Linked DNA regions of Struthio camelus. The protein of the gene in region 1 interacts with the protein of each later gene in a pairwise test. Links are inferred from orthologs where the notes say so. Each region holds a gene or a part of one and is shown in the gene's direction. Other genes may lie near its edges. The genes, in order: L3MBTL3, PRKAA2, TTC19 and NGB.

What was found.
Region 2: the proteins of L3MBTL3 (region 1) and PRKAA2 interact in binary tests that used the Homo sapiens proteins (3 or more experiments, as listed by UniProt). The two-hybrid records come from large-scale screens. The link is inferred for Struthio camelus from reciprocal best matches to the Homo sapiens genes L3MBTL3 and PRKAA2.
Region 3: the proteins of L3MBTL3 (region 1) and TTC19 interact in binary tests that used the Homo sapiens proteins (3 or more experiments, as listed by UniProt). The two-hybrid records come from large-scale screens. The link is inferred for Struthio camelus from reciprocal best matches to the Homo sapiens genes L3MBTL3 and TTC19.
Region 4: the proteins of L3MBTL3 (region 1) and NGB interact in binary tests that used the Homo sapiens proteins (3 or more experiments, as listed by UniProt). The two-hybrid records come from large-scale screens. The link is inferred for Struthio camelus from reciprocal best matches to the Homo sapiens genes L3MBTL3 and NGB.

The regions. Positions count from the first base shown.
Region 1 is NC_090944.1:70,676,656-70,683,918, forward strand, and holds the start of L3MBTL3 (lethal(3)malignant brain tumor-like protein 3), read left to right. Parts: upstream 1-4,247; 5' UTR 4,248-4,358; coding exon 4,359-4,372; intron 4,373-5,981; coding exon 5,982-6,093; intron 6,094-7,263. UniProt on the Homo sapiens protein: Is a negative regulator of Notch target genes expression, required for RBPJ-mediated transcriptional repression. It recruits KDM1A to Notch-responsive elements and promotes KDM1A-mediated H3K4me demethylation.
Region 2 is NC_090949.1:33,363,819-33,371,265, forward strand, and holds the start of PRKAA2 (5'-AMP-activated protein kinase catalytic subunit alpha-2), read left to right. Parts: upstream 1-4,446; 5' UTR 4,447-4,469; coding exon 4,470-4,563; intron 4,564-5,692; exon of another isoform or gene 5,693-7,447. UniProt on the Homo sapiens protein: Catalytic subunit of AMP-activated protein kinase (AMPK), an energy sensor protein kinase that plays a key role in regulating cellular energy metabolism.
Region 3 is NC_090957.1:17,543,687-17,551,389, forward strand, and holds the start of TTC19 (tetratricopeptide repeat protein 19, mitochondrial), read left to right. Parts: upstream 1-4,689; 5' UTR 4,690-4,704; coding exon 4,705-4,882; intron 4,883-4,953; coding exon 4,954-5,030; exon of another isoform or gene 5,031-5,054; coding exon of another isoform or gene 5,055-5,114; coding exon 5,115-5,225; intron 5,226-5,295; coding exon 5,296-5,334; intron 5,335-5,928; coding exon 5,929-5,985; intron 5,986-6,313; coding exon 6,314-6,375; intron 6,376-6,923; coding exon 6,924-7,018; intron 7,019-7,240; coding exon 7,241-7,395; intron 7,396-7,703. Other genes in the region: ZSWIM7 (zinc finger SWIM domain-containing protein 7), read right to left, coding at 2,311-2,332, 4,516-4,591. UniProt on the Homo sapiens protein: Required for the preservation of the structural and functional integrity of mitochondrial respiratory complex III by allowing the physiological turnover of the Rieske protein UQCRFS1.
Region 4 is NC_090946.1:59,044,229-59,052,182, reverse strand, and holds the start of NGB (neuroglobin), read left to right. Parts: upstream 1-4,938; 5' UTR 4,939-5,030; coding exon 5,031-5,134; intron 5,135-6,586; coding exon 6,587-6,698; intron 6,699-7,954. UniProt on the Homo sapiens protein: Monomeric globin with a bis-histidyl six-coordinate heme-iron atom through which it can bind dioxygen, carbon monoxide and nitric oxide.

The DNA.
Region 1 (7,263 bases):
TGACTTTCTGTGCCTGGTTCAAAGCATTAAGAGAAACTAAGAAATGGGATATCAGGGTTGTTTACTCAGGTCTTACTGTCTGATTAACTTAAATCTGAATTCAGAACTGCACAGGTGCTAACAGAATACGCAAGTCATTAAAGTGGACTGCAGAGGAAGTATTTTTTCTAAGCGAGGTACAAGTTCTTTGTGACAAGACAGAAGTTGTCAGTGATAAATTTCATTAGATGAGTCGGATAGCTTTGGAATTGGATAATTATTGTTATTAGAGTTTTCTGTGGATATTTGAAAATGACGTAGTAGATGAAGGCTGTGGGTAACTTTGTAAATGTTACCCAGTTCCTAGCAGTGGTCCAGCAATACCAGTGTTAGCTTACCGGCAGAGACCAGATTCAGGTGAAAGCATCATAAGGCTTCTCAAGCACTAGTGCAGAATTACTGTTATCAAAGAACAGATTCCGTGTATGAGGAAAAAAACTTTAAGCTGATCTACTGGAAAGCAGGAACAGACGTATGCAGTGCCCCTGGAGAATCTAGCAGAGAAACGAGTAGCAACAGCTAAAATAAGAAGAAATAATATTAAAGGCATATCATCAGTAGGAAGTCTGGTTCGTTTACTGCTACACGTGTTAAGAATGGTGAAGAATTTTAAATTTAGGTCCTTTGTGACTACAATGCCAACCTATATATCTTATCTTTAAAATAACTATTTTGTAATAAACTTTGTGAGTAACAGGCAAAGTAGTGAAATTGACGTTGCTCAAACAGCTCTTGAGTGCACAGAATAGAAAAATGGCAAATCTGGTAAAATATTTTTTAAACTACAGTATGAATAATGAAATTTGAAAGGAAATGTGTGATCTGCAGATACTTCTTACGATAAAAATATATTATTAAATAGGTATAAAACAATGTGCATATTAAAATGTGGTGGATGGCCTCAAAGCATGTTACCAGTTTCTGCACTGTGGTTGTCTTCTTCAAGTAAAGAATCAGCTGCAAAAAGATTAAATGGAAGAGAGAGGCAAGTGTGCAGTATACTCAGCTCAAACCAGATGATTGTGGGAAGGAAAGCTGGACTCACCATGATAGCTTTACAGTGAATAGCAAGTAAGTCTTTTTCCTTGTACCGCCGTTCTGCACAACAGTTGGCTTAAGTTTTGCTTTGCCTTCAGTGTCATGATGAACCTAGCTTAATACAAAGTCTGTCTAAAACAGAAAAGGGAGCTTAGGTTGCGAAGGATAATTCTCCTTTGTGTGGCTTGGGGGTATAATGATTCAGCCCTGATATTTTTCACTTTATTCTGTGATAAAGGGAATAAAAATGAAAATGAGCATCCATCCGTCTACTGTCTAGAAGTTAGAGCACTCTATTTGCTGCTCTGATACACTGAATTGCCCCCATCTGATCCACTTCATTTTCCCTATGTGTTATAAATGTCCCACCTATCTGTAGATATCTGCAGATACTACACTAAGCAGTCTCCTTCTTGGACCTGACCAAAACAGCTATGAGCAACGTTAGGACAAAAAGCTGGGCTGGGGCCTACTCTTGTTCCTTTGTTTCTGAACATCTCTCAGCACTGGCATCTCCCAGCTCCATGGGTGTCTTTGAGGAACAGGGAACATCGCTAGGATGTCTGAGGACATCACCTCCCATATTTGATGCTCTCATTTCACACCTTGCACCGTTTGTTTAGACCACTTCTGGCTCTGTTTGTCCTATTTTTCTCTTTTCTAGCAAGAGTTGTTAGTTGGGGAAGGGAGCAGGCACAGGCTTGTTCTCTCCTGGAACGAATCTACTGGGCACTCCTGTCACGGTGGTTTCAGGAATCCTAAAAAATAAAATAAAAGTACACACGAATGCAAAAAGGAGTGCACATGCTTATTCACAGATGGATTCTGCTGATCCAGTAGTACTGTCTAAGGGCTTTACTTTTGAAATCTCCTCTCTTTGCTGTTGAGTGACCCCGTATTGAATTGGGCACGTTCTGGTGAGAAATTGTATGTACTACTACCTTGCACACGTCATAGATGGCATCTTAGATTTTCAAAACTTAGGTAGGTGTCAGGTAATTTTTTAAAGCCCTGACTGAAAGAAAAAATCCTTCTATTATTACTTTTTGACATACTTAGTACATAACCCTGTAATTATTTCAAAAAATACTTGTAGGTTTAGTTGGCATATTCTCTTCTATTTCTTAGCTTTAAGTCTTTAAATAGAGAATCTTCCACCAGATTAAATTATCTAATTTTTAATGCTGTTATTCTCGTTAAGTATCAGTTCTGTGAAGTATTCACTTATTGTTGAGCCAGTTGGTAAAAATGAATGGTTTTCTAAAGGATGCGTCTAATCTTCTTTCATAAGCTTGTTTATTTTAAGACATTTATTAAATATGTCTAAAACAAGGTTAATGTTGAAACATGAAAACGCAGCACACAGCTTTAAAACACTCCTCTATATATGTTACAGCTTATGGCTGGGAAGACTGAGATACAGTTATGTCCCTAATAGTGGATTTTGGATGAGGCTTTTGGAATATGAATGTTCCACGTTCTTATTTTGTGTCCTTACCTTCACATCAGATGGCATTCAGTGATAGGCATAGGTACAGTATTGTAGTAGTACTCCCCATATTAATTCAGTATTTTTACTACGTTCCTAGAGTTGTGTATGATAGCAAGAGGCGTTATTATAAAAGGAGTTCAGTTATACTAGTTCAGAGAACCACACCAGAGCTTTAAAGATGAAAGTGGAAATGAGTAGATAAGGCATTCCGTAGTTTTCTTTGTTCTGTGATTTAGATGTAGATACTGTAATGCTTTCATCCTTTTTTAATTCCTCATTGCTATAGTGATTTAATTGGTCTGCTTCTTCCTCCTCATTGTCCTTAGCAGTGGGATATAGACCTATCAACCTTGATCTTTCATCTGTTCAAACTCAGCAAAGCTGGAAACTGGTACTTTGTTAAATGTGGCAGCTTTGGGTAAATTCACTTCAATCTGTATTGCCCCATTACCTTTTCATCCCTACACAGAACAGTTTGGAAGGCTGCAAAGAGGACCAGTAGGTGAAAGTACAGATTGTGCCTTTAATATTGAGTTTAATTTTAGAAAAAAAACAAGAGTACCTTGTCAAACAACAGAATACACCATTGCTACTCATTATTACCCGATGAAAGCTTTCTTAGGTGCAATTAAGTTAAAATTTCTATGGTTTTCTTGAGAGAAATGTGCACGGTACGGTTCTATTATTAGTATTTTATTTTGACTTTCACAGTTTACATCCTGCGTAAGTAGTCTAGGCTGTAAGTTTCCCCCATCCCCCATCATTTTTTGGCAAGTGATTCTGTTACAAAATGTTTATATGATGAGAGAAGCTCTATCAGAAACTCCAGAATGTGATATAGCGGCTGTCTGCTGCTTCTCGCTCTGTGGGACAGCGACCACTGCAAGAAAGCGTTTCCCCACAGTCTTCAAAGTCTCTTCCCATTTTTTGGTCATTCTTTCTGCAGAGCAGAAGCCATTAGAACGTTTTCTGTAATAAATACACCACAGCATAGTTGAGTGCAGTGTTCTTTAAATGGGATGGTAATTTAAGATTACTTAGAAACTTTAGTTAATACAGAGTGAAGCTTTGTGTTTGCTTAGCCAGACTACTCATGAGGAACACATTACACCAGTGTGCTTAAACAGCATCTTTTATGTCCTTAAAATTTCATGGATTTCTGGGTAAATCCAATTTTTCAGCTAGTCCATAGCAGTTGAGGTAGGTCTTGTGTTTCTGAGAGGATGCCTACATCTCTGCCATGATGTTGCAGTTTAGTTCGGTGTAAGCCTGCTTAGGTTGGTATATTATAGTGCTGAAGACTGGATTCTTAGGACGGTCTAGAGCTCAAGTGTGCTACTTTCTTAAGTCAAATAGAGATTGTCCAGGTTGAATTTCAGGAGGTGCTATAAGCTGGAGTGATGCATTTTGCTTGGGAGGGATTTTAGACGGTGAGTTGTATGGGTTTGAGAGTTTTTCAATTTACCCTAAATTTATTTAGATTTATTGATATATTAAAAGTGAATTTTTGTACATTGGTGGTAGGGTTTTCAATATGTTCACACAGAGAAAAACTAAAATTAGAGATAGAAAAGAACTAAAATTAGAGATAGAAAAGACTCATTCAGTTTTGTTCTTCTTCAAATTTGTTTTGTGACGTCTATAAAGTTTTGTAAAAAAAAAAAAAAACTCCTGTAGGCACAGGTAGCTATTTTCTCCATCTCTGAACCCGACCTGTCATACAAAATGAAGAGGAATGCAGAAGCCTTCACCGTCAGCAGTGGTTACTGATTGAGGTCCTGCTTCTGTCATGTTGTTGACAAGGTATAGGGGCTGTATTGTAACAAAAGTACTAGTGGATTAAGGTGTTGCTCAGGGTGGTAAAAACTTTAGAATTCTGCTATAAATGAAGAAGAAATCATGCAGAAATATAAAGGAGTTCACACTGCAAACACAAAATGAGAGTAATGTCTATCTATAATGTTCAATTGATGGCTATAATTTTTCTACTGCAAAAATAGAAAGTTGAATATTTTTCACACAACAGTTAATAATTAAGTGTTTTCTCCTCAAACTTTAAGTCAGAAGCCTCTGGTAGATCTGAGTTTACTTCTGCTGGGGTTGCATCTTTTTCTATCATCTGCGAGTAATACAGTGAACGCATTTCACTTAATCTTTTTTGTGGAAATTCCAGATATTGAGAGAATATTAACAAATATTTGCAGAGAGTAGGTTTTGTGGGTAGAATTTTTAGAGATAAAAAATTAGATTTTAGAAACTGGGGTCAAACAGCTGGGGAAACTGCCTGCCTGTTTGAATTTCAAATACTGATACTTGCAGCCAAAGTTTGCAAGCGGTCTGCAGGCTGAGTATGAGGCTTGGAAAGTATTTGTTGAAAAAGTTCAAAAAGTGTAAATTTCAAAAGAAATAAGCTTTTGGTGAAATAAGCTTTTCAACTGTTAGGTGTAGCACAGCAGTCCTTAACAAGGAAAATAATTGAGTCAAACTTCATGTTGAATAAATACTAAATTAGGTGCCAGCCCACAAATTTAAAGATCTCTGGGTTTGTAAAAAGTAGAAAGGAAGAACTTAGCAATAGTCACAAATGGCTGCTAAAAACATTTACAGTTCAGCACAACTGATGTCGTATTTGTGATAGTGACAGGAGTTGTATAATTGTATTGCTTGTGCAAATGATTGGAGATAAATTCTTACAACAGAGAAGGAGGTCCAAGTCTACTATTTCTAATGGTAAACAAATATTTTCTGCTCTGCTTTCACTGCAGTGAAACAGAAGGATACAGTAAAATAAAGTCTTCCAAAACAGCTGTTTCTCTGGTGTGTATATGCTTGTCTATATGTAAATACATTTTAGAAATAAATAACGAATATTTGGTGAGCCTATATGGTGACAGACAAGGAGTATTTGTATGTTCTGAGTCAGACAATGAAAGTGAAGGACTTTCAAATTCAATTTGAAATTTTAATTTGGACTGGAATGAAGTATGTTACCAGATATTAAGGGAAACCAGTTATTTTAATCAGTTCTTACGATGTTTATTATAGGCATGTGTTTATGCCTTTCATTCCCTAGAATATGTTTTTCTTACATATTTCTAGGATGTGTTTGCCCAACGTCAATCTTTTTGCAGCTTGAAATTATTTATTTCTCTTCAGTTCAGCTCATTAATAAGTAGTGTATAAAGTAGATACTATTTTCTACGTTTTTCAAAGACTTGCTGTTGTTTTATTACATTAGTTTTTATTATCAGCATAGTTCTGTACATTGTAAGTGTGTTGAGGGATTTGATACTAGTCTATGCATTTCAAAGTGCATTTGAAGAAATGTCCAGTGATTTGAGCATTAAACTACTTTAATTTACAGGTAAAGCCTTTATATATATATATATATTTTTTTTTTTTTTCTTTTTAGTACATGCATCATGAATGAATCTGCCTCTAGTGGGAATGGACAAGAGTTTGATGTATTTAGTGCTATGGACTGGAAAGATGGGATAGGTACTTTGCCAGGAAGTGATCTAAAGGTAAGATACGTAACTTCTTAATAAGTGAAATAACAACTTTATATGCCAAAAGAATGTATTACAAGTTGGTGTGTAGGTATCTGCTTTTATGAATAAAACATGCAGCTCTGAGTTAAGAAACTGTAGCCTGTTAGCTTTTAGCTCTGGAGTTTCTTGATTCAGTTTCTGGTGCTGGCAAAGACAACAGTCATTCCCGTAGGAAGGCATAAACGAGCACTGCCTCACTATTAGGACAGAAGTAATCAAGTGCACAAAATCCAAGACGTCTCAGAAGTTAGTGTGTAAAATCAGTCCTCTTAAAGTATAATACTAACTAAAAATTTTTTACAGTCACTGACACTTAAGTCTCATGTTCATAGTACTTTTTTTTTTCTAAGAATAGTTTATTTTTCTGTACCTTTGTCATGTGGGTGTCTTAAAGCACCCACAGATATTAAAGTAATACATATATTGATGTTTTAAAATAAACTGTTTATTTATCTGATACTTTTTTACAGTGTCCTCAGAAGGTATTCAGCTGTTTTAAGTAAAAACGCAGCTTCGATATTGGAGACTTTCTTGCACTTATTTCTCGTTGGTTAAAGTCAATATTTTCGTATAATTCTATTTATATTAACACTGATAGACTCTTTTCATAGTTTAATTTTTAAATAAAATCTCACAAATTCTTTTAAAAAGAATTGTAGTTCTTAAGGAACTTTTATATACCTTAGTGCCTAATACAATTTATGTTGTTGAAGTGAAGAATCAAGAAATGTTTAAAATACAGGACAGATACATTGCAAGTGTCTTTTTTAGAGTCACAGAATCATAGAATAAAATCACAGAATAATTTTTTTTGGAAAGGACAGCAGGAGACCATCCAGTCTGGCCCTCACTTAGAACAGGGCCAATTTAGATCAAGTTGCTCAGAGCCAGGTCCTGTAAAGGTTTGGTTATCTCCAGCAATAGAGATTGCACAAACTCTCTGGGCAGCCTGTTCCAGAGTTTGACCAATCTCATAGTGAAATTCTTCTTTCTGTTGTTACTTAATTGGAATTTCCTCTTTTGCAACTTGAGTTGGTTGCCTCTTGTCCTTTTACATTGCACCTCCAAGAAGAACTGGCTCCATCCTCTTTATAACCTACCACTAGAGTAGTTAAAGGCAGCAGTAAGATCTCTCCTTATGTT
Region 2 (7,447 bases), on another chromosome or scaffold:
CCCACATCCTAAAGGTGCGGTCTAATTGCTCCCCAGTGCAGGAGAGTTTCCCTCTCCTGCTGCGTTGGGACTTGCCCAGAAGCTCAGCTCCGGCAGGACCGAGAAATCACACCCCTACTCAGCATCACGAAACGAGGGCAGAGAGCAAGCCCTGCACAGGAGGCATTTCACATGCGTGAGGCTTTGTAGCTCTGTCCCAAACACACTGAGACATACATATATCCCGCTGCTTCAGCAAGGGATTTGTCCAAGAGTGGAGGGAAAAAAATAATTATAAAATAAATAAATAAAAGCCCAAGGGATTGCAAAGAAATTGCAGCTCAGATACACTCTTTAACTGGGATGCTCCTAGGAGGCATGGTTACATTAGCATTTAATTAACAGCACCCAGCTTGCATTTGATTTCTATTTTAAACAAGCTGCAACACCACCAGGCACGGACGGATCATTCACCGAGATGAAGGCAAGCAAGGGGAAGAGATTTCTATCCTGCTTCGCAGTCAAATGACATTTCATTTGATCTACACCAAAAATAAAAATGCTGCTTCGCCAGACACTGGAGTCTGCATCTCCTAGCAACACTTCTCCCACCTCACACGTTTTACTCGAGACCCTTCATCTCGTGCCTGTTGCCGTGCTGCTAGCAACACACCTCCCTTCCCCACTGGGGCACGAGATATATCTACATATGTATCTATACAGTCGCACACACAAATACAACCTTAAACACACAAAATATAGCCTTTAAATTAAAAAAAAATTGATTGCACAATCTTAATTCAACATTTCTATTAAACAACTTCTGTGTGCATAATGGATTACTGAGTAACAAGGTAAAGAAGTAGCTGGTGCGTACCAAGGAAGCTCCTCGCTGCTGGGCTTTGACCAGGTTGTATCAGCCTGGTTACTCAGGCTATACTCTAGTATAGAGTGTGTTTTCCAGCAGTGTAAAAAATGCTAAGGAAGGGTTAAGGTATATATATGAGCGTGTTTCGCAGACAAATGACACTGCAGATGTGGGGACTGCGCTGTATTAACTGCACACAGCGTACGGCTGCATTAACTGGTAGGTGGGGAATGGGTTGCAGAAATGCTCATGATGCACCATGAGGCACGTCCGTGGGGTGATTTAGTCACCAGCTTTTAGGCAATGAGCAAGGGGTAACATAGCACATTTACATACAGCAGCTCCGTTCAAATATAAAAGGAGGTCAAGAAATACCATGTGAGACCTCACCTATTTGTTGCGGTGCTCCACTAGGGCAAAGCCAGGGCTTGCCAAGGCTGGAAGCAAACAGATCGGACAAGCCGCACGGACTCCTGTGCGCAAAGACAGGAAAGAGCTGCTGGAGGCTTTTGCAAGGTGCAGACTTGCACAGACCCATACTTACCCAGGTGCCTAAAGACGACAGCATTTTCATAGGCTTTGCAGGAGACAGTAAGCTTTAGACAAGAAAACACTAATGTTATTTTTAAGTGCTGTTTCTCTTATGCTTTATTGTAGGTCTATCACTCTGATTAAACAGATGTGGTTTCATTACAGTACATATGGTTTTGTATTATATCAGCTTTCTTGTTTCTACTCTGCCACTGTTATTTGTATTATTGGATCTGTTGAATTAAATCATCTTCTGATTATTTACCATGGTATAGCTGCATAGGCTCGTCATTATTTTATCAGGTATCTTTTGTTTATACAGCTTCCCATTCTGACTTCCCAAATATCTCCTCGCTGTTTCACAGTGTGGATTGCCTTCGCGCCTGCCTTCTGCTATTTCTTGTGACTGAATGAGAAAGTTTAATATTGAAGAAATCGGAATTAGCACTATTAAAACAATACTACTCTCCAAATAGGTTTAAAAGACTAGTGTTCAAACATGCTGCGTGGTTAGGATGAGCATGCATGTTTTTCAACACGATCTGTTTGTGCGGCCCAGGCAAAGTTCATATGCCCTGTTTAGAAGATTATGGAGAATGTCCAGATTTGCTTAATCAACTTTCTGGACTTTCATCTGAAAATGTCAAGCAGACGATTGCTTGGAGGAGAAACAGGTTTGAGCTCCTACACAAACAGTTAAACCCCTCACCCAGCACAGCTCCCTGGTGCTGGTGCTTCAGGTTGAGCCCTGCAACCTTACACCCTCTGAGCAGGGGAACGGCTCCAATTTGCTCCGGCCCGGAGATCCAGAGCCCCTGCTCGGCCTTTGCCGATGGCCTGCCTGCCCCAGCACCAGGGATGTGACACCAGCTGTGGCCTCATGCCAGCCCCTTATGCCGAAAGCTCCTGTGCCGGCTGCTTGCCAAGCTCTGGTGCTGCGGAGCATGGCGAGAGTTTTCTTTTCTGGGTTGCAGTTGTCTTGATGAGTGAAAAGGAGGAAACGTTCATTAGAGAGGAGAGTTGGGATCACTAAGCGGGTGTTCGCTTCACATATTTTTTTTCCAGACTACATTTCTAACAAGGTAGAAATTCTAGAGAGAAAAGGTAGCCTGCCTAGAGCAGCTGTGTTATTATTTAATGTATAGCATTACCCTATCTGACTGCAGGCTGTCGCAGGGCTGAACGATAAAGAATGGATAACGCTGGTATTAGGACGAGCTGTTAGCTCACGGGAACATTTGTTACGTCTGCCCCGAGCAACTCGCAGCATGTGTCTACAGTAAGGTTTAAGTGCAAGGTTGGAACGAGGCTCCCGGTCGGCCTCACTTACTGCACGTGGGTCCACAATACGGCGTGGGTTTGGAGTTCCCCAGCCAGAGTCCTCCCCCAGAAGCCTGAGTGAGAAACACGGGGCAGTCCCGAAGGGGCATGCGGGCGCCAAGCCCGGCTACAGCCACTTGGAGTAGAGCCCCCGACCAGCCCCTCACACCAACCACTTCCCTTGGAGACCTGCCCCTGCCGGAGTGCCTGGGAAGAGGGAGGTGAGGGGAAGGAGAAAACCAGAATGGGCTTCCCAGTCAAGATGAGGAGAAGAAGGGCTCCAGGAAGGACCTGGGGGTGGTCAGAAGGTAATTTCAGAGTGGGGAAGAATGCAAAGATGCAACTAATGAGAAACAGCTGACATGAACAGAACATAACGGCGGAGGAGAAGAAAAGCAAAAAGGGAGACAGAGAAGGTGGTGACCCAAAGGCCAGCTTTGGTGTCCGTGTAGGGGAGCTGCGAAGAGGGAAGCGCTGTGAGCAGGTATAGATGGTTTCAGCTGGCCGCACCAGCTATCAATGTATCGATGTGTCCTTCCCCTTGAACCTGTTTTGCTCCTTTATGTTAATATAGTTTTGACCAACAAGAAAGCTCCTGTGTCTGCTTTGCCAAGCGAGTACCACTTATTGACCACCACCACGCAATGCAACGCCTGACAGCTGCCCGGGGTGGTAGTGCTACCACCAACCCAAACGCAGCCGGTCCCAGCCACGCTCGTGTGAACACACTCACGTGTGCTCAAGCTCCGCTGCTTGCAGACAGGTGAAAGGCAGCATGGAGACATCCACAGGTCCATCGTCCTGCCTCAATGCGGCAGGGTCCCGAGACCTGGCACCACCACTGCTCTGCACTCAGCACCACGCTGCCATCCAACTGCTCCAACGCTGAATTTTGCCAGCCTGCCCAGTCCTGCCACCACGTGTCCAGTGTCCCTCATCCCATCACCATCCCCATTATTGCGCTGTGACCAGCCCTGTCCACCCTCCCACCTCATCTCCCGCCAGAACTGGGGCTGGGCCCCACAGGGCAGGAGCTGCACCATGCCCCCACCCCACGACATCCCTCCTAGGTGGGCAGGCTCTCCAGCCCTAAGGCCCCATCCCGAACCCTGGGCAGGTGCACCCCAAGGAGCATGTCACCCTCAGGGGTGTGTCACTCCCAGGAGGGTGTCACCCCAGGCAGATGCACCCCAAGGAGCATGTCACCCTCAGGGGTGTGTCACTCCCAGGAGGGTGTCACCCCAGGCAGATACACCCCAAGGAGCATGTCACCCTCAGGGGTGTGTCACTCCCAGGAGGGTGCCACCCCAGGCAGATACACCCCAAGCTCGCTACCATCCCCAGCTGGGTGTGCCTTTAGGAGGGATCGTCCCAAGCAGGGTGCACCAGAAGGAGGACACAGCCCTAGGAGAGCATCACCCTGGCTGTCACTCCCAGGAGGGTGTCACCCTGGGCAGGTGCACCCCAAGCTGGCCGCCACCCAGAGCCAGGTGTGCCCTAAGGAGGGACCATCCCACGGAGAGCGCACGGTACGGAGGGCATCCCCCCCACCCCTCCGGGAGGAGAGCATCACCCCCAAGGCAGGTGTCACTCCCGGAAGGGTGTCACCCCCGGTAGATGTCACCCCCCACGGCAGGTGCCCCCCGAGGAGGCCGCCGCCGCCCCCCACCGTGGCCTCGCGGCGCCCCGCTGCGCCCGCCCCGCCGCCGCCGCCGCGCCGCACCGCGCCCGGCCGGCCCTGTGCATTGTGGTCCGGCCGCGGGGGGCGAACATGGCCGAGAAGCAGAAGCACGACGGGCGGGTGAAGATCGGCCACTACGTGCTGGGCGACACCCTGGGGGTCGGCACCTTCGGCAAAGTCAAGAGCTGAGTACCGCGGCCGCGGTGGGCAGGGCGGGCGGCGCGGCGCGGGGAGGGGGGGGGAGCGCTGGCTCCGCGCCCCCTCCGCGGCTCCCCCCCCCCCGCCCTCTTTCCCCGCTCCCCTCCCCGGGGGCCGCTCCGCGCACGCACCCGCGGGCCCGGCTCCTCCGCCGCCGCCTGCCGGCGCGGTGCGCGGCCCCGCTCCGCGCCTCGGCGCGGCCTGCGCGCGCGGCTCTCCGGGGCGGCGGGCGCAGCGCGGAGCGCGCTCGGCGGCCGCGGCCCGGCCCGGCCCGGCCCGTCCCGCGGGGCGCGCAGCATCCCGCGGGGCACGGAGCATCCCGCGGGGCGCGCAGCCCCTCGGCCGCGGGGGCTCGTGGCACGCGCCGAGCGCAGGACGCTTCTGCCGGGGCAGACGGGGTGCGGGGCTCGCGGGCGGCACCCGCGCTCTCCCTCGAGCGGCCGGACGGTCCCTGCGAGCTGCTGCCCTCCTCGTCCCCCCGAGCGCCTGCCTCACACCCCTGCAAACTTTCCTTCTTCGCGGCAGGGTGATGGACGCAAAGGATGAGCGGCAGCGCGCGCCTCGGGCAGGAGCCCGCGCGTCCCCATCCCTCTGGGGCCGCTCTGCTGGTTTTGGGAAAGGGGGGACAAGCGCTTCGCAGCCGGGCGGGTGGCAGGAACCGGGAGCAGAAGGGGTTTCTTCTGCTGTCGCGGTACCTCTCGCCCTGGGAAGCCAACAGCCTTGCTGGGAGCGCGGGAAGCCACTCTCACGGGGCAGGGGGAGACAAGGCCTGAGGCAGGAGCGGTGGAGAACTTGGGTCAGGCTTCATTCACACACAGGGTTTCCCGCGTGGTTCACGCCAGCAAGGAGACAACTCTCATTTTCACGTAAAGCACCAGCTTTACTTTACCTGACTGGAAGATTTGCAAAGATTTGTATTTCTTTTTCTATTTAATTCTGTTGCATGCAACTGTTACCTTTGAACCAAGTTAAAAAAATCAAAGATACTGTACAAAACTTGCATCTAAGCAAAACAAAGAGCTGTGACTGATGATTTAGGTACGGCTGGCAGAGCAGCTACCACCCTCCGCTGTGCACCCTGCCCTGCTGCTGGAGTTACCGGCGGCATCCTGTGGCTGGTCAAACGGGTGATGTGCACACGCTCAGGGACTGCGGCATTAAAATAAACCAAAACTGACAGCAGGGGAGAGGAGCCACCTCCACCACTGGAGCTAAATCCACCCGTGACCATTAATCAGACCCCTAAAAATATATTACTCTGTTTCATCTAAACCCACAAATCCACTGCCTAAAGAATTATCAGAATAAATACTTCTAACAGTGAGGACCATGTAAATCACTCATGTGTACGAGCAGAGCTCCAAAAGTGCTCCAAAGGCAATTTTTTCCCCCTACAGAACAAGTTAAGCCTGCCAACAGTAGCCTTTTCTCTTAGCTACCTTTCTCAACTAGCTAGCATGAACACCACGCACACGCTGTATATAGCCCGATTTTTGTAAAACCTGACAGTTTCCAAAGAGACATTTAAAATAAAGGAGATTTCCTAACTCAAAATCAGTTATGGTTAAGTGGTACCCTATACACATATATATTCTTTTCCTCAGCATGTTGCCTGTAACATCAGTCTGCGTTTGACAGACGAAATTTGGACTTGAGACTGGAAACTTAGATGAAGAAACTAGATCTGCTGTTTATATGGCATTATAGCATCTTAATCAAAACAGCATTAGAATACCCTGAATTCATCCTGTTTAGCAGGAAACGTGAAACAAAACAAAGAGATTCTGCCTGTTGGATTTTTTAACTATGGAGGGAGATGCCATCAGTTACTTTTTTTTTTTTTTTGCTGCTGTTTTTTCTTCAAACTCTGGCTCGCACTAGACTTTGTGAGAAGCAGGGTTTCCTGCCTCACCCTCCAAAGTTAAGAAATCATAAATTAGATTACAGTCATTAAGGAAAAAGAAAATGGCATTAGAAGCAGGGAGGAAGGGGGTTGTGAAATTGCTGTACTAACCACAGCTTGAATTTGTGGCTGTAGCTGAGTAGTCACTTGAAGCCATCAGAAACCAGAGCTGCTACAGAAAAAGTCATTGCGACCCTCTTGCAGGGGGAGACCACGCAAGTGCTGGCGCTGGCACATGCAAGGCGAGGAGAGCAAAGCACCTGGTAGATGAGAGCAGGATTTTGGAGATTAACTTGCAGGAAATAAAATTCAGGTGGCTGTAAGGGAATTCTCTTGGCTTTTACATTGAGTGAAGCATGGAAGGAAGAGGGTGGTACCTCACTCGTTAGCATGGTGAGATTAAGAACGGATGAGATAAATTGCTCCTGTGTTTTCCTTAGGCATATCCCACCCCATTGCTCTCCCTGCGACCACAGAGGTTGCACGATGGAGTTCATGGTGGTTGCTGCTTTGAGAGTTTCAATCAAAATACAGCTGAGTAATGCAAATATTTTTTCATGTGGTATCACGCATGAAGTCCTGGGTGGCCACTTGGTGGTTTCTGTCCCCACGCTTGCTGGTCACCAAGGTGATCAATTTTGTGGTCCCTCAAGGGCCTATATTTCTTTGGTGATATGTGTGCGTTGGTTATTATTTTGGTACCTTTGGGCTTGAGCAGGGTCAGATCCCCTTTTCCAAGGCACTATATAATTGCTACTGACGGACAACCAGGGATAATAAATTTAAAGAGACCAAACAGATGAAGGGAAGGATGATATAAGGTTTAAGCAAATGGCAGTGGGACAGAATTAATACAGCTTTGCTAAATATATGCTTTCCCTTGATTTCATGTTTAACTTAGGGCTACGATAAGGGCTGGAATAGGCAGCTGATTGATAGGAAAAAAGTTCTCGCCCTGCGCCCTCAA
Region 3 (7,703 bases), on another chromosome or scaffold:
GGAGATTCTGGGGTATGCACAGTGCTAGGGCTCCAACAGGTGTTACTATCAACAGGCAGCGTCACACATGTAGCCCAGTGATCGCTGTTGCAGCAAACACTGTGAAACTGTCACATGAGGGCAATGTGCATAAACAGGGATTTCAGCAGGGGCTGCACCAGGAAAACAAGAGAACATGGAGACGGAGTTGCTAACGGTAAGAGAGAAAAGGGATTGTGCTCTGGGACACCTTAGCTGTACCAACAGACTGTCCTGGATGAGTTGCCCCACATCAGATTATTGATCCATTTGGTCTGGAATCCCACCTCTAGTCATGGCCAACACGTCATTCCTCAGAGCAAGGAGAGAGAAATGGTGACAGACAACTCCTTGGGCAGTAGGAAATGCAGCAGTAAGGCTACTTTCTCGTCCCAGGGAAAACTGGTTTATACCCCGGGGCACAAATGTGTCATTTTAGAGTGATCATGTCTTCTGGATCACCGTCACAACTGAGGTATAAATTAACCTTCTCTACCCTCCAAAGTGCAGTAATCAGAAGCTAATGGCCATCGGGGAAACACTGCTGATGCTCCACTGCATGTGGAGCAACTGGATAGCCATAGTTTTACATCTCTGATCCTGCTACCAGAATAGTTCAAGAAGGATTGTATCTGCTGATGATGCCATGCAAGGGTATATGCTAAATTATATGTCAAATATGGAGACCTCAACCTTTACCCTATTGTCCAGACAGTTCTTAGGCTTAAAAGTTATTCTATATCTGTACATCCTGCCGCTTCGCATGTCTTTCAAAGAGCTCAGGGGTAACAGAGATAATCTTTACTCTTTTATCCACTGAGAAAAATCTGTGTAGTCTAGATTAGTTACAAAGGTAAACAACCAGGAAATCAGCAGTGATGAAAGGATATTTCAAAACACGAACAAGAGAAAGCAGAGGAACATTTCCAACTCCAGTCAAGACAGACAGAGCTAAGACAGAGCCCTGGTGTCGCAGCAGTACGGTTGACCTGTGTGTCTGAGTCAATCTCATTGATAACAAGCCAAGCAGACAGACTTATTCCAGGAAGACCAAAACTTAAGTGGCAAAAACTCAAGGCGATAGGGATTCATCTGATGGACTGAGAGGTGGGTGGGGGAACACTCAGTGTAAGACATTCCTTAATGATTAGGTTTGGGACTACAAGAGGGCTGAGTCTAATGAGTTTCAGTAACTCTTTCCAATTTGGGGAATTCTTTTTTCATGTATATAGTTTGACCAGTCTAACAGGAAATAAGTAAGGGGAATGCCCAAAGGAAATTCAAGGGCTGGAGAGATTTGGAAGAGATTCAGAAATGAAATGAGAACACTTCTGAGCCCCTGGTCACAGAGAATTGATGGCAATCCGACTGCCAAGTGTTACCACCCAACCATTACTAAACTTAACAAGGGAATTTCTCTCCTACTCTTTTATTTTATGACAAGAAGGAAACAAAAAGTTATGAGACTTGTCAAATACAATCTCACCATTTAAGGGTCGCAATGGTCCCAGAAGAGGGAGCCAGCATGCATACCTTTCACAGGTAGAGAGTGCTATGTTGTGTTACTTTAGATATTGAGGCCCGAAAGGTTCCTGGTGACCTCCTCTCTTGCCTAAATTACAGGCAGGCAGGGACACAAAGCTGAAGACGAAAGTGAAAAGCCTTTATCACAGTGACAGTACCTTTTCTCTGCCACTGCCACTGATCAGTGAGGGCTGCAGAAGTTACAACACTCAGATCTCTTGGGAGGAGGCAATTCTTGGGTATGACTGACGTATTCCCAAACTTCAGTCAATGCAAGGGCAATGAAGCTGACCTGAAATTTCCTCAAAACAGAAGAAAACTCTCAGGGTAATCTTCAAGGTGACACAATATGAAGGCAGTGGAGATGCAGTGTTCCAGTGGCATGAGTCATTTGAAACACAGCCTGCTTTCACAGAAAACTTGTTCCAGGTCTGAGAGTGGACTCAGAGCTCAGCTGAAACATTCTGGGTTTCTGCATGTCTAATCCATCCCAAATTAGAGCAAATCATCACTGGAGATTCAGTGATACAGAGATAATTTCATGAATTATCATGAATCTTTGGAAAAACTCTTGAGATAAGTCGTTTTGGACAGCCACTCCCCCTACCAGCAAAAGCATTTAGCAACAACGCATGAGAAACATGTACTAGTCAAACACAGCAAAAAAACAAACAAACAAAAAAACTCAGCAGTACTATGATGAGAGCAGATTATCAACTGTCCTTTAGCAGAACACTTGGGACAAGAACTAAACCAAAAGATACTTACCCCAGGAGCAAGTCATCAGGAACTGTAACAAAAACAAAACGAAGTGTGATTTTGCTGAACTCCCCCAGTGTGAGAGACTTAGCCATCAGCCTCACAGGGAGGCTAGAGTCTTCCTAATCTGCCCCCAGAGGCCACACAAGATTGCACCCTGCTGTGCTCTAAGCCATCCTTGCTAGCCACCAAAAGTGCAACAAGGTGCAGCAAAATCATTCGCTAGGGCAGAAAATTTCAGTCATGACAGTGTCAGGGAAAGGAGACCTGGCAGTGGATGGGAGTTTGCTTCCCCCACCTTTCACAGCGGGAGCTCCATCTCTGAGCACACCCACCAGAACAGCTCAGGTTCCACAAAACCCAGAGATATGCAAGAACAACAAACAGTCAGGCAATGTTGTTGTTTTTCCTCTTAATTCCTTGCTGCGTGAATTGCACCAAAACTGAGAAGAGTCAAGTGCCAAGCTATCCCCATGAGACCGCCCACCCCTCAGTTCCAGTCCTGGACCTCCCACCCCTGACCTAGGCCTGGATCCTCTTTTCACAACAGCACTGCCTTTCCCCAGGCTGAGTCCGACACTTGCCACATGGCTCCAGCCCCCTCCTTGTACCTAATCTCCGCTCTAACACGTACCCGCGCTCAGCCCAAAGCGATGTTCTATGCAGTTAATACAGCAACTGAGGTTTCCTCAATCCTTTTAAAATAAATCATAAATTCAATTTCTTCTAAGACTCAGAAAACCTTCCAAGTATAAGCTATGCACTTTCAATGCGACTGCTTATACAAAAGGCATTTATGAAGTATGGCAATTAAATATATATTACATATACATTCAGAGCCATGGGGGTTAATTTTAAAAAGAAATGCAGAAGCCCAAATACACTACTTTTATAATATCTTGCTTTTAAAAGCATGCAAATAGACATGCATCCTGAACAACTTGCTCTGCAGCTTTAAGAAGCCAGTTAAAAATATATATATTGGTTTCCCTGAAACACTCTTGGCAGGAGTTGAGAACTCTGCGGCATCAAAACTAACAATGTTGTTCTTTTCCCAACATAGTCTTCCAGGGCATTGCTAGTTTATAGCTTTTAATATACAGAAACATAATGTCTCAATTTAGCAGAACTTCTTGTTAAGATGGAAAATTACATTAAGAAAAATAGTCTGTTTGTTTTAACTAATAAGTTAGGCTACAATTAGCTAATCTGATCTTTTCGTTACCGCTAATGGGACACAGCGTACTATTTGTATTCTGCTGGAAGACTGGGACTTTTGACTTTAAAATCCTTCCTTCTAACAATTCAAAATATTCTCTGTGACTTATGCTGTCGGTTTGACTCTTCCAACTTTCATCTAATTTAATTCTCCAGCCGAGCAGCTTCATTCCCTGGTTATAGCGCAGCGTACTGTCCTAGCGCTTTAGAGAGAAGTGTAGCTTAAAAGTAACATTGATCTTTTTTTCCAGTTTACAACAGGATTTACAGAGTTCTTTTAAAAAGTGACGCGTAGATTTTCGATCTATCCTAACCTGCCACTATGCATGGCGCAAGTACACCAAAACACTGTCAAGGTGGTCACTCGGGCAGTTTAGATGTTACGCCGGCATCCCTTCCTCGCACAAACGTAGTACTCAACAGGTTTCGCTGTACGTTTGGTTGTTTTTAGTGCCGGCAAAAGTATTTAGACTATTTTATTCCCTTATGAAGAACCATTATGCACTACTTACCAAGTGAACATGAACAATAATATTCTTTCAGCGCGAGTTACAGAACTATGTTAATAACCCCGAGTGCAATGAAAGAAGCTGTTCTTAACTAGCTGCTAGAATTGGCCGAGATTTGCTTGTTGGCTTAGGCTCTCCTCGTTCAGCACCAGGGAAGGTGCTCGTAGCCAGAGACGGCGAGCACACCCCCCCCTGCCGGTCAGCTCGGAGAACGTTACCCTTTTTTAATCCGGGTTTTCCTTCCAGTTCTAGTTTTGAAACTCCTGAGCAGGCAAAGAGCTCAGCGGGGAGAGGCCAAAGCCATGGGTTAAAAAAAAAAGCCTTCAGTCATCGCCCCGAACACGCCCAAGCTCTCGCCGAGCAGGGCTGCCCTAGGCCTCCTTGTCAAGGCCGCGCCCGCCTTGCTCTAGCCCCGGGCGGCGCCGCCTCGCCTCGCCTCGCCTCGCCTCCCCGCAGCGCGGCGGCGGCTCCGCTTCCCTTTACACACCGTGCGAGGCCTCCTCGACAGCCCTCCGGATCTCCCTCAGCAGCTCCTCCGCCACGGCCGGCAAGGTGCCGCCCATCGCCTGCAACCGCCCCCGGCAGCCGTTGGGGGAACCGTTAGGCCACGGCCTCCCTTGCGCCCGCGCCCCGCGTCACGCGCCCGCCGAGCTCTTAAAGGGCCCGCGCGGGCAGGATGCTGGCGGCGGCGGCGGTGTCGCGCGCCCTGTGCCGCCTGGTCGCCCGCCGCCCCCGCCCCGCGGCGCTCCCGCCGGCCCGGCTCGCCTGGCGCGGCGCGGCCCGCCGGGGCGGCGGGGGATGGCGGCAGAGGGGGGCGGCGCGGCCGTGCGGCAGGGCGCTGGGTTTCCTCGGAGGTGAGGCGGGTGTGGGGCGGGAGGAGCGCGGCGCGGCGCGGCGCGGCAGTGCTCACCGCGCCCCCGCGCAGCCCTCTCGCTGTTCCCCAGGGCCGCCGAGGAGGAGGAGGAGGAGGACGCCATTATCGTGCTGCTGAAGCGGGCCAAGGTGAGGCGCCGCGGCGGCCGCGTCATGGCGGCGGGCTGGGCCGGAGCGCCGCACCCGCCGCCGCGTTTTGTCCTCTCGCCGCAGCTCAGCGTGGCGAAGGGGGAGCTGGCGGAGGCCGAGCGGGTGCTGCACCAGGCGCTGCGGCTCTCGCACCAGGCCGGGAACGGGAAGGCGGTCGCCTACACCTACAGCATGGTAAGGCGGCGCGGGGCCCCGCGGGCGGGAAGCAGCTTTGGGGCGCTTCAGCGCTGTCCTTCTCTTCCAGATGGCGAACGTGGCCCTCATGCAGGGACAGCTGGACAACGTGAGTAACTCCTCTTGCTTTCTCTCCTCCACCGTCAGAGTTTTCGGGGGCTGACACCCTCGTCCAGTTCTTGCCCGAGACCTCAGAGGTTTGCCTTCGCCCTGCATGCCATGCCTGCCTCATATGGAGCCTTGTGAGGCAGAAATCTCGCAGCCTGAAGCAAAACACGCTGCTTTGGGGCAGGAATCCCAAGAAAAACGGTGACCAGTTGCCAGTTTTTGCGGTTGGGTTGTGAGCCCCAGCGTGGTAAGCAAGGGAAGGAGTGCGTCTTGCTGTCAGATGCCACAGTCGAGCACTTAGAGAACTGGCACAAGGACAGCCTAGCAAACACTGAAAAGACACAGATGTGGTAAACTCGCAGCTGAGGTAGGAGTCCTAAACTAGAAATAGAAAGGAGCCTGCTGGCTGGCCCTAGCACTGGGCTCTGGCTAATATTTCAGTTCTGATTGCAAGCTGGGCCTTGATAAACAAGGCAAACGCCACAAACCATGTCAAACAGGTTTCCCACAGCAGTCTGCCTCTGTAAAGGGTAGAGAGCCTTTCTTCTAAGTGCCACCATGCCTCAATGTTCTCTTTAAACTTCTCTTATTTCAGGCAGAAAAGCTCTACAAAGCAACTATGAGCTATATGCTTGCTGGGGACACCAAGGAGGTATGTTGCTCTGATAGAGGCTTGCAGCTGGAAGTGTTAACAGTGTGGTGCATCGTTCTGTGGTCTGTTTCTTGTTTAGGAAAGACGATGCTTACACGCACTTCCACAAGTTGTGGTTCTTGCCTTGTGCCATATAATACCTCCTACTGGAAAGTGGCAGTATGGTAATGAGCTTGCCTACTTTTCAGAAACTTGATTTAATGGATGGCAGCTCTGAAGACAACAGAATGGGCATTTCAAAATCTAAACTTGGTCCCTAACAAACTAATGGATCTATTGTGCAGATGCAAGAAGAATAACAGTTACGTTGTGTCTTCTCCCTTTGTAGGATGACAATGCAATCCTTGAGATGTCCCTCAAGTTGGCCAGTATCTATGCTGCTCAGAAAGAGTGAGTTCCCTACTAAAGGCATCTTTAATCTCAGCTTTGCAGTGGTAGTCAAGCAGAAGCTCCTCCTTTGAGGAAGAGGGTGCCCAAGGAAGCTTAGATTTGGCAAGGTATCATGAACATGATGCCACAGGCATGATCTTTTTCTGCTCTTGTCACATAGCACAGTGACTGTTGTTACTACCAGCCCAGCTCAAGGCAGCAGTAGCTATAGAGGACAGAGCTCTCTAGCCTTAAATTCACACCTCACAAGACGTGCATTCCGGAGTGAAGCTTGTGAATGCAGTTGGTGTGTGGCCTGTGCTGGAAAGATAACCTCGTTTTTACAAGGGAGAGAGCGCTGCTGGTATGGGTGGTCTTAGCAGGGTTCTCTCCACCTCTTAGATCCCTTTGCCCTTGGTCAGGAGTAGGTCCAGGCCACGATCAAGGAGGGAGCATTGAAGGAAAAGGGTTGTCTTATAGGCCATGTAGGATGAGGAAACAAAGGTCCTAACATCTCTCTGTTCAGGGATGGAGGGAGCCTTGCTTTGCTAAGTCATTGCACTTTGCAGGCACAAATTAGCCCTGGCTGGCTATCAGTTCTGCATCCTGACCTTAGAGGAGAAGATTGCCAAACAAAAGGACTTGCCTGAGGATGTCTTATCAGGTGGGCCTTCCTTGAGCGCTTGAGGGTGGTGCTGTCTTGCTTGCCAAAAACTTACCGTCTTTCCTCTGTTTTTGTGTCCTTGCTGTTGCTTTCCATGTTGCCTAAGCACCATCCTCCTGTCAATCCACAGTCTTCACACTGCATGAATTTCCTGTGCACGTAGGATGTAGACTTGTGCTTGATCTTGTAGAAGTGTTCACTTTCTTTTCTTCTTATTCACAGCTGAAGAAAAAGCCAACACCCGTCTCTTGCTGGGGATGAGCCTAGACGGCTATGCTCGCTATCTCCTAAGCATTAACCAGCTCCCAGTGGCCCAAAAAATGTACGAGAAGGCTCTGCAGATATCAAGTGATGTTCAGGGAGAGACTCATCCACAGGTGAAGTGTAGAGCAGTAGCGGCAGGCACTCGTAGGAAAAGAAAGGCTAACTGATCTCATAGGAAACTAAGGTAGCATTAAAAGCCACTTTGATGGCACTGAACATATATGCAGTACTAAATTAGGTTGTCTTCCTGCTGGGAAGAAAGAGCATGTAGGATGCTGATCTAAAAGTCACTTTCTTTCTTGCCTGAAGCTTCTTTGGAAAGACTACTTTTACTAGTGTGACAGTGGTATAAGTGTAGTGCTCCCATTACCCCAGGGTTTAATGAATCCTGCTCTGAAGCCTCCTGTTCTGTCCTGCTGCA
Region 4 (7,954 bases), on another chromosome or scaffold:
TCGCTACTGAGCTGTGCAGCATTGCATCCTGAGGGGGTAGCTTAGAAACTGGTGGGAATGTTGCCTGAGGTCTGTTCCCACCTGAGGATGGGGGCAGGGAGTACAGGGAGAAGAGGAGCTCTCATGGTCTGCAGTTTCTAACAAACGGAGACTGGAGGCAAGGGGGAGAAAGGGATGAGCCAAGCTCAGGAAGCTGGCCCCAAGGTGAGAAGGGAGCGTGATGTAGCTAGATCAGAGTGGCATTATTCATGAGGACTTGCAGAAGTAGAACTGGAAATGAACAAGAATCCACGGGGAGATTAGTTTTTGTTAGTATAGCAAGTGAGATGAAAACTGACAGTGTCACAGCAGCATGGGCAAAACAGTCCTCCCTAGGCCAGGCTGATGTGATGCCCACTGGGAGGGAATTATGTACGCCGACTGCCCTGAACCCTGTGTGCAGGGTTGGGGAATGGTGTTTGTGGGGTTATTCCCAATTCTATTATTCTGTGCTGTGAAATTGGAAAAGTTTATTTCCCAGTGGGTAAACTGAGGTGCTGAATAAGCAAAGCACACACTTGGCAAGGGGAGTTGAGTGTTGTTGAAAATGTAATTTGAAGGGGCTGTAGATTAGAATAATTAGAGCTTCTGCCAGGTAACATTATACATTTATTTTCTTCTAAATCTTTATTATCTTTCTTTCTTTCTTTGCTGGTCATTGAGCTTCACTGGCAATCTACCTTCCCTGTCTCCAAAAGGCCTAAAGATGATTTTGGAACAGTCTGTGCTGGTGACCTGGTTCCTCTTTGCTCCTGACAGCTCCAGGGAAAGTCTTGCAGAAATCCAAGAATACTTCAGAAAAGAACTGAGCTACCGGGCTAGATATGTGGAGCCAGAGGAGTTGGAGACCACTGAGGGAAACCAACAGACTATGGAAGCTTTCACAGTGCCCAACTCCTTGATGCATCCTGGATGCTTCTTCACATCTGAAGGCTTGCTAAACACTTGAACAAGAAGAGAGCTTTGCTTGTTTGCTTTTCCTTGTACTTCACATCCTCCCTGGACTACACCTCAGTGCCATAGCAGCAGGAAGAACTCCTCTGACAGAGACACAGCTGCAAGGGAGAAGCTGTTTTGCATGCAGGGAAGAGCACTGCATCTCCTGAGCCCTTGCTCTTTTAAGTCACATGAATGGTTTTCAGATGTTTCTTACCCAAGAGCTCTTTTTGTCTCCCACCTCAAATCCCTCCTTACAGCTCCCTCCTCCTTTACTTAGATGACCTGCTCTGTCACAGAAAAATAAAACTGCTGGTTTTTTTTTTGTTAAGTTGAGAAAAACAAGCAGAAATGACAGAAGGCAATGAAAGAATGGATTACCCATGCAGAGGGGCAAGGAAACTGCCCCTAAATGTCCCTGTACCCTGCCTGGAGGCCCAACCCCTGTTGCTGAGGGATAGGGAAAGAATTAATTCTCTCCAGCTCTCAGCCTCTGCTGAGCTTAACACCAGTGTGGGTGGTGAGTGCCAAGAGGCAGGCAGGGGTATCACCCCCGTTGCCCTTATATCAGTCCATGGAAGAAGTCGTCAGGTCACGCTCAGCAGTTTTGCCACAGCCATTAGCGGCTGGTCCATTCTGGCGTTTGTGTCTTGTCTGTGTGTGCGAGCAGGCAGCCACCATCTGCAGCATGAAGGAAAAGTGTGGGTGGGGTTGGCAAAACTTTGGACAAAAGCCATAATTTCCCTATGGCTTCATTGCTATTGTCTAAGATATCCTTTCCATCAGGAGCAGCAGCTAAACCTGCATTTGGTTGCTGGCCTGGGATAATGATACCTGGTACGATACCTGCATGGACCCAAAGGAAGGCATCCCAGGTCCTAGCTAAGCTTTAGGAAGAATCACTATACTGTCTCCCTGTTTCATCCATCTTCATCTGCTGCATCTCCAGGGTGTGTGTGCACTTTTTGTATCCATCTTGCTCATATTCAGGATCTGTTCATTTTTACTACAATAACCCACTTCTGTTGTGCTTCTCTTCCTCTCCTTTCATTCAGCTCTGAATATATCCAAAATGTTGCTAGGCAAATATTCAGCCTAGGTTGCTACTCTGATTGCATGTATATCCTTTGAATCTATTTATTGGCACCGTACATCTAGTTAGGGCTCTCCACTCTCCTTTATAGCGTTCTGTCAGCACAGTGCTGCCTTGCTGTTCTGCTCTCGTTTCTTATTAGTAGAGTCAGGTTGAAATGTTCAGCCAGGCTCTGGTAAATCAACATGGCTATGTGATTGTGACGACAAGCTGAAATGTCATTCTGAGAGGTTTGTACAGATGCAGATAGGATGACACTTCATGTTTTTTGCTTAAGTGCTTGATCAGCCATAAGATAGCTAAAGGTTAGTTTTTGCTTTGCCATTGCTGGGCTTGTGTTGGTCTCCCTGCTTAGATTAACCTGGTATTTCCCACTTCTCTGCTAGCTGCTCTTTCAGACTCCCTCCAGCTTCAGCAGGTATCACTGCACTGATTTACCTTTGGTTCCTGTTGTGAATGTCTTCTTTGCAACCATACAGCCTGGAGACTGATTTTAGTGTGAGCTTGTTGTGGATCAGGAGATGGTGGCCAACAGCAGGCAGCACTGAATGTTGTCAACTTGCATGTTTCAAACCCTAGCCAAGCCTCCAAAATGATACTGCCTTGCAGTCCATGACTTCTTTAACGTTGAATACTTGTTATTTATCCTCTGTTTTCCAAGAATGTACATGTGTAGAGATCATATTTTTTCAGACTCGTCTTAGTTATTGTGAGAGCTAAAATGCTGTATTTTTAACAGCGATCAGTGATTCTGACCATCTTGCCTTACCTGGAAAAGTGTTTTGGCTTCCTGTTCTCAGCTGAAAATGCCAGGCCTGATCTCAGCAGGATGCTTAGCATTGAGCTCAGGCTCTGCGGGAGACTTGAGCCTCACTGGTTACCACCTGTGGGGAGGACCATGGGTGCTATTTTTCCCAGTGGGGGCTGAGTAGAGGTTTGGAGGAAAGAGGGAGAGTTTGTGAATAAGCAGCCTGCTGCCCAAGTACTGCTCTGGGGTCCTGCTTGCTTGCAGAGGGAGTGACTCAGAGCTGCAATATGGAGTGGGAATACCAGATTAGGAAGAACGGATGAGAAAATTGCTGGCAATGGGGCACATTGACTTTCTTTTGTTTTCAATAGATGCACTGGTCTGGTTTTTGCAATGTTCAGCCCATTCGCCACATACCTTCATCCTTCAGTACAGGCAGTTCTGCTGGTTGCCCTACATCTGATCGTGCTGGAGCCAAAAGAAAGCCATAGGTGTAGCAAGGAGCTGGTGTGAGACCAGAACCTGGATCCATCTGGGCTGGGTGTTGTGTGTCTTGTGCTGCACACAAAGGACGGTGTCCCGTGCCCACATACAGCAGGTCTGGAGCAGAGTTGTTCTCCTGTAGTGATGCTCGGAGTAGCAGCAAAGGGACGGAGAAGCTCAGAAAAAAGCCACAGTCATTTACATCCATGTTACTTTCCTTCTCCCACTGTCTTATCTGCAAGTTTGACTGAGCAGCTCTGATGCAATGCACTATCTCATCTATCACACCTGATGCAGTCATCACTGATCAACAGTGAAAATGTTTCCTGAACACACCTGCCATGATCTGAAGGATGATGATATTGAGCATGGGAATTTACAGGAGACAATAGCGATCTCAAAGGTCCAGTCTCCTGCTATCACTACAAGCAGACTGATTAGACTGATGGAGAACTGGCCCTTTTGGAGAAAGGCCCATGGGAGACAAGACAAGGCTGGGGCTGATAATATAGCACTGTGGCCTTGAACTTGCCTACTGTCAGGGATGAACTTAAGCGCTCCAAAGCGAAGACCCTCATTGCTGCCTACTCTGAATTTGGTTCCCGGTTTTCCATCTTCGCTCCTAATTACAAGAAGTGAGTCTTGTGTATAGTACCAAAATTTGCAGTAAGATCAGCACAATTGTTATTTCAGAAACATTTGTGCTTCTGTGCTGCTCGCATGCTTCTGAAAACCTCAGCTTGCATGACTGCTTCTGGTAGTTTCTGTTGTGCTGCTTGAGACCTCGGTTGCTCCCTCTCTTAAGTTTCCTCCACACTGTCGAAATCCCTGGACGAGACTAAAAGCAATATTTCCCTTCATCTGGACAGTAAAGACACGTTGGCACCCTGAACATGTTTGACACACATGAAATGTCTTCTGGGCTCTTACTAATAGCTTTGTCTGGTTCAGCTGGCTTAAATCCCCTTAAATTATATATAGATGTTGCAATGTCTAGACTACACCTGCCCATGGAGATAGCAGGTGGCAGCAGGGAGCAAGAAGATGCTGTAGCTCTAGCCTGTCACTGAAGACCTCTAAAGCAAAGTTACCCTTGGAGACAGCTATGCTGAAGAGTTAGTGGACATGCTGGGTCCCTGCCTCCTCGCTAGCATTGCTTTGCTGTGCTTTTTACTTTGTAAAATTAGGCTGATCAGAAAATGTCAACCATAAATAAGCTAAATTTTCTACTCTGCCTTGAGGCTGAAAGTCCTGGGGTTGGCGTTTGGGGATTTATTATTATTTTAACATCCTCGCTGTGTGGGAAATACAGGAGCTCCGTGAGGCGGTTTAAAAGCCCTGCGTGGAGGGGGGGGGGGGGAGGAGGAGGAGGGCGCCGTCCCCTTGAGCGCCCGGGGGCAGCCAGCCTCGCCGCTGCGGCGCCGCCCCCGCGGGGCAGGGGAGGCGGTGCCGCGGAGCTGGCTCCGCCGGGCGGCACGAGGCAGCCGCCCGCGGGGCCCCGCTCCGCAGCCCGGCGCGCTCGGCGCTGCGCGGGCCGGGGCGGACCCGGCTGCGCGGCGCGCAGGTGAGAGCGGCGCCCGCCGGGGATGTGACGGGGCGGCGGCGGCGGCGGGGGGGGCCCCGGCGGAGCGAGGGGGCGTGCGGCTCCCGGCGCCGGGGCTGGTGCAGGGACCTCGGGCAGGAGCGGGAAGGTCTACCCGGCTGCGCGCCCCGCTCCGCCTGCCCCCTGCCATGGAGAGCGGAGCGCTGTCTCGCACGCAACAAGCTCTGATCCGAGAGAGCTGGCAGCGAGTGAGGGGCGACCCTGTGCAGCACGGCACGGTCCTGTTCAGCAGGTGAGCGACGGGCGGCCGGAGCAACAGGCGGCCCGGGGCAGCACGGGGGCCGGCGCAGGCGTCCCAGCCCCGGGCTGATCTCCCGCACCGGCCCGGCGGGTGGCAGGGGGGCGGACGGGCTCTGCTTCTTGGAAACATCTCCCTTTGCTTGGTAATGGCTCCCTACTGGCTCTGTTACGCGGTCCGCTGTCCCTCTGGTTGGCGTTTGCAGTCAGGAGGGGGAAGCGCAGTGATGAAGCCCCTCTAACGTTTAGCTTCAGCTGCTGTGGGCGTGGGGAAGGTCCTCTGCTCTGCGGCGCTTCTCGGCCCCTTGCCCTCCAGCCCCGTGCACTTCAGAACTTTGTTATGGGGAAATGGAGAAGATGGAGAGCGAAGGAAGGAGCCAGCAGGCAGGTTTTGTGCTTTTCTGTGCATTGATCCCCCTCGTTGTCACCGGGGAAGGTATTTCTGTTTGAAGAGCTGCATGTCTGCTCAACTCTGTGGGCTTTATCAGAGCGACTTCTTAATTGTCTGTGACATGGCAGTCTCCACATCCAGGCAGAGACCTGGCCACCGGGGAGAGAGTCAGTCCTAGAGCAGAGGAAGTGGTGTGCCAGGGGCAACATCTGAAACCCAACTCCTTCTCTCCCCTAAGCAGATTAATGTCTCAATTATGGGAAGAGAAAATGAAAAATCCATGAAAAGTCATTTAAAAAGCACAGTCTAAGAGCAGCTCCTGGAAAGGGGCATTGCAGACACGAGGCAAACCTTGCACAGCAAAACTATGACCAATGAGAGCAATGTTTGAAAGTTTTGGCAGAGGAGCGAGGGACGTGGTAGTTTAATGTGCAGAAAATGAGGGAGAAAAGAGACAGATTATCTTGTTTGAATTTCCCATGGCCTCCAAGGATGACACCAGCCCATTCGATCTGCCTGGGTAGCTCCTACTGAGACCCATATGTGCACAGCATATGCTGGCAGAGCAGATCAAGAGGAAATAAACTGAGAGCTGGTAATGCTGTGGGAGAGTGGGATGTTAGCTGGGGTTGCACATCCTGCCTTGCTGAAATTGGAAATCTTGCAGGCCTTCCCCAGATTTGACAGCCTTGGGACTCAAGGGGATCATGAAGTGTGAATAGGAAGAGTCAAGGTGACAAACAGGATTTTGAGGAGCAGGGCCAGGCTGGGAAGAACTCCAGTGGTCTAGGACTGATCCTCAGGTGCCATAAATGCATCAGAGAACACCATGCCCAAAATTGAGACTTTTTTGACTATTGATAACCTGGATTGCCCCAAGCTAAGACTCTTCAGAACTTCTGTGTCCTTCCCAGGTGGAGAAGGATCAGCTAGTGAAAAGGGAGGCAGAGGAGGGCTGTGGGCATGTTGGTGACAGGGTTGTGCCCTGGGTGAGGGGGATTCTGAAAAGAAAGTTGAGGAAGTGAGAAGATGGGGATTTCTCTCTCACTGTTGCAGGTTGTTTGATCTGGACCCTGACCTGTTGCCCCTCTTCCAGTACAACTGCAAGCAGTTTGCCAGCCCTCAGGAGTGCCTCTCTGCCCCTGAGTTCCTGGATCACATTAGGAAGGTGAGAGGGGGCCATGGCATGGCTGGAGCACAGACCCCCCATGAAGGAGGAAGCTCTTCAGGCAATGATTCTGGGCTATTGGATATCTGACTCTGGGGAACACATGGGAAGTCTTGTCCTGCAACGGCAACTGCAGGAAATTTCTTGCAGTAGCAGGAGGTGTTAGTGCCAGGACAAAGTGCCTAAAAACAGTGGGGAGGGAATGAGGATGTGGGTTGTGCTGGATAAGAGCACCACGCTGACCCCTCCATGCCCTCTTGTGGACACTGGAAGCTACTTTCTTCTTCTACCACGTGTTCATGTGTGAGCTCACTCCTGCAAAGAGGAGGACTGAAGTCCTCTGTTTGGCCACACGCTGAGCAGGAGGTTACACAGAGTTGGGCAGTGGGCAAGGCTCCTGTGGAGCCACTGCTTCTGGAGGGGCTCTTGGTGCAGCTGCAGAGTCAGAGGGCCCACAGGACCTCTTGTCTGGCTGCTGAGGCAGTACTGTGATATGCATTTGCCTCCCCCTGAAACAAGGAGAGAGGAGCAATGCTGATCTTGCAGGAGCTCGTATACAGAAAGAATTATACCCAGTGCAGCAGAACCCCTTTGCTGAGTCCTGAAATGTAGCCACATTGGGGCAGAGCACAGCCTTGGCATGGAAATGCCTCCATACGCTTCATCTTTAAGCCAGTTCAGTGCCCTGCCTGTCTTTATTCCTTGTAAGAGGCTGTTTCAGTACTGTTCTCCTCTGATAGCTACAAGCTCTTTACTATTTTCCAGCCTCTGTTTATCAGCCAAGTTAGGTCCATTTTTACTTCTGCCATTGTTGCCTTGAGCTGAATTGCTTTTTGCTCTTGTTGGAGATAATTTCCCTGTTGAAATTATAGAGCACAACTCTATTGCCCCTTGGCTTTGTCAGGCTAACCATGCCACCGGCTTTAATCTCTTCTCTTAAACGGATCCTCTCTTTTCCCTTCATCCCTCATTAACTCTTCTCCACCCTGTTCCCATTTGGCTCGTCATGCTCCTGGGAAACCACAGTGGTACCCGCTTTTCCGGACAAGGTCTCTTGGATGTACTACCCAACCCATCTTCTCAAAATGCCTCAGTTGATCTTAGAATTGCAATTGCCTTACTCGCAATTGCAGTGTCTTGGCAACTTCTAGTTGCCCTATGATTGACCAGTGTTCACAGCATCCTCTCTCCATCTCTCAGGGGGAATCTGTCCTGGACTGCCCAGCAGTTGTCCTGGGATCATAAAAGCTGTAATG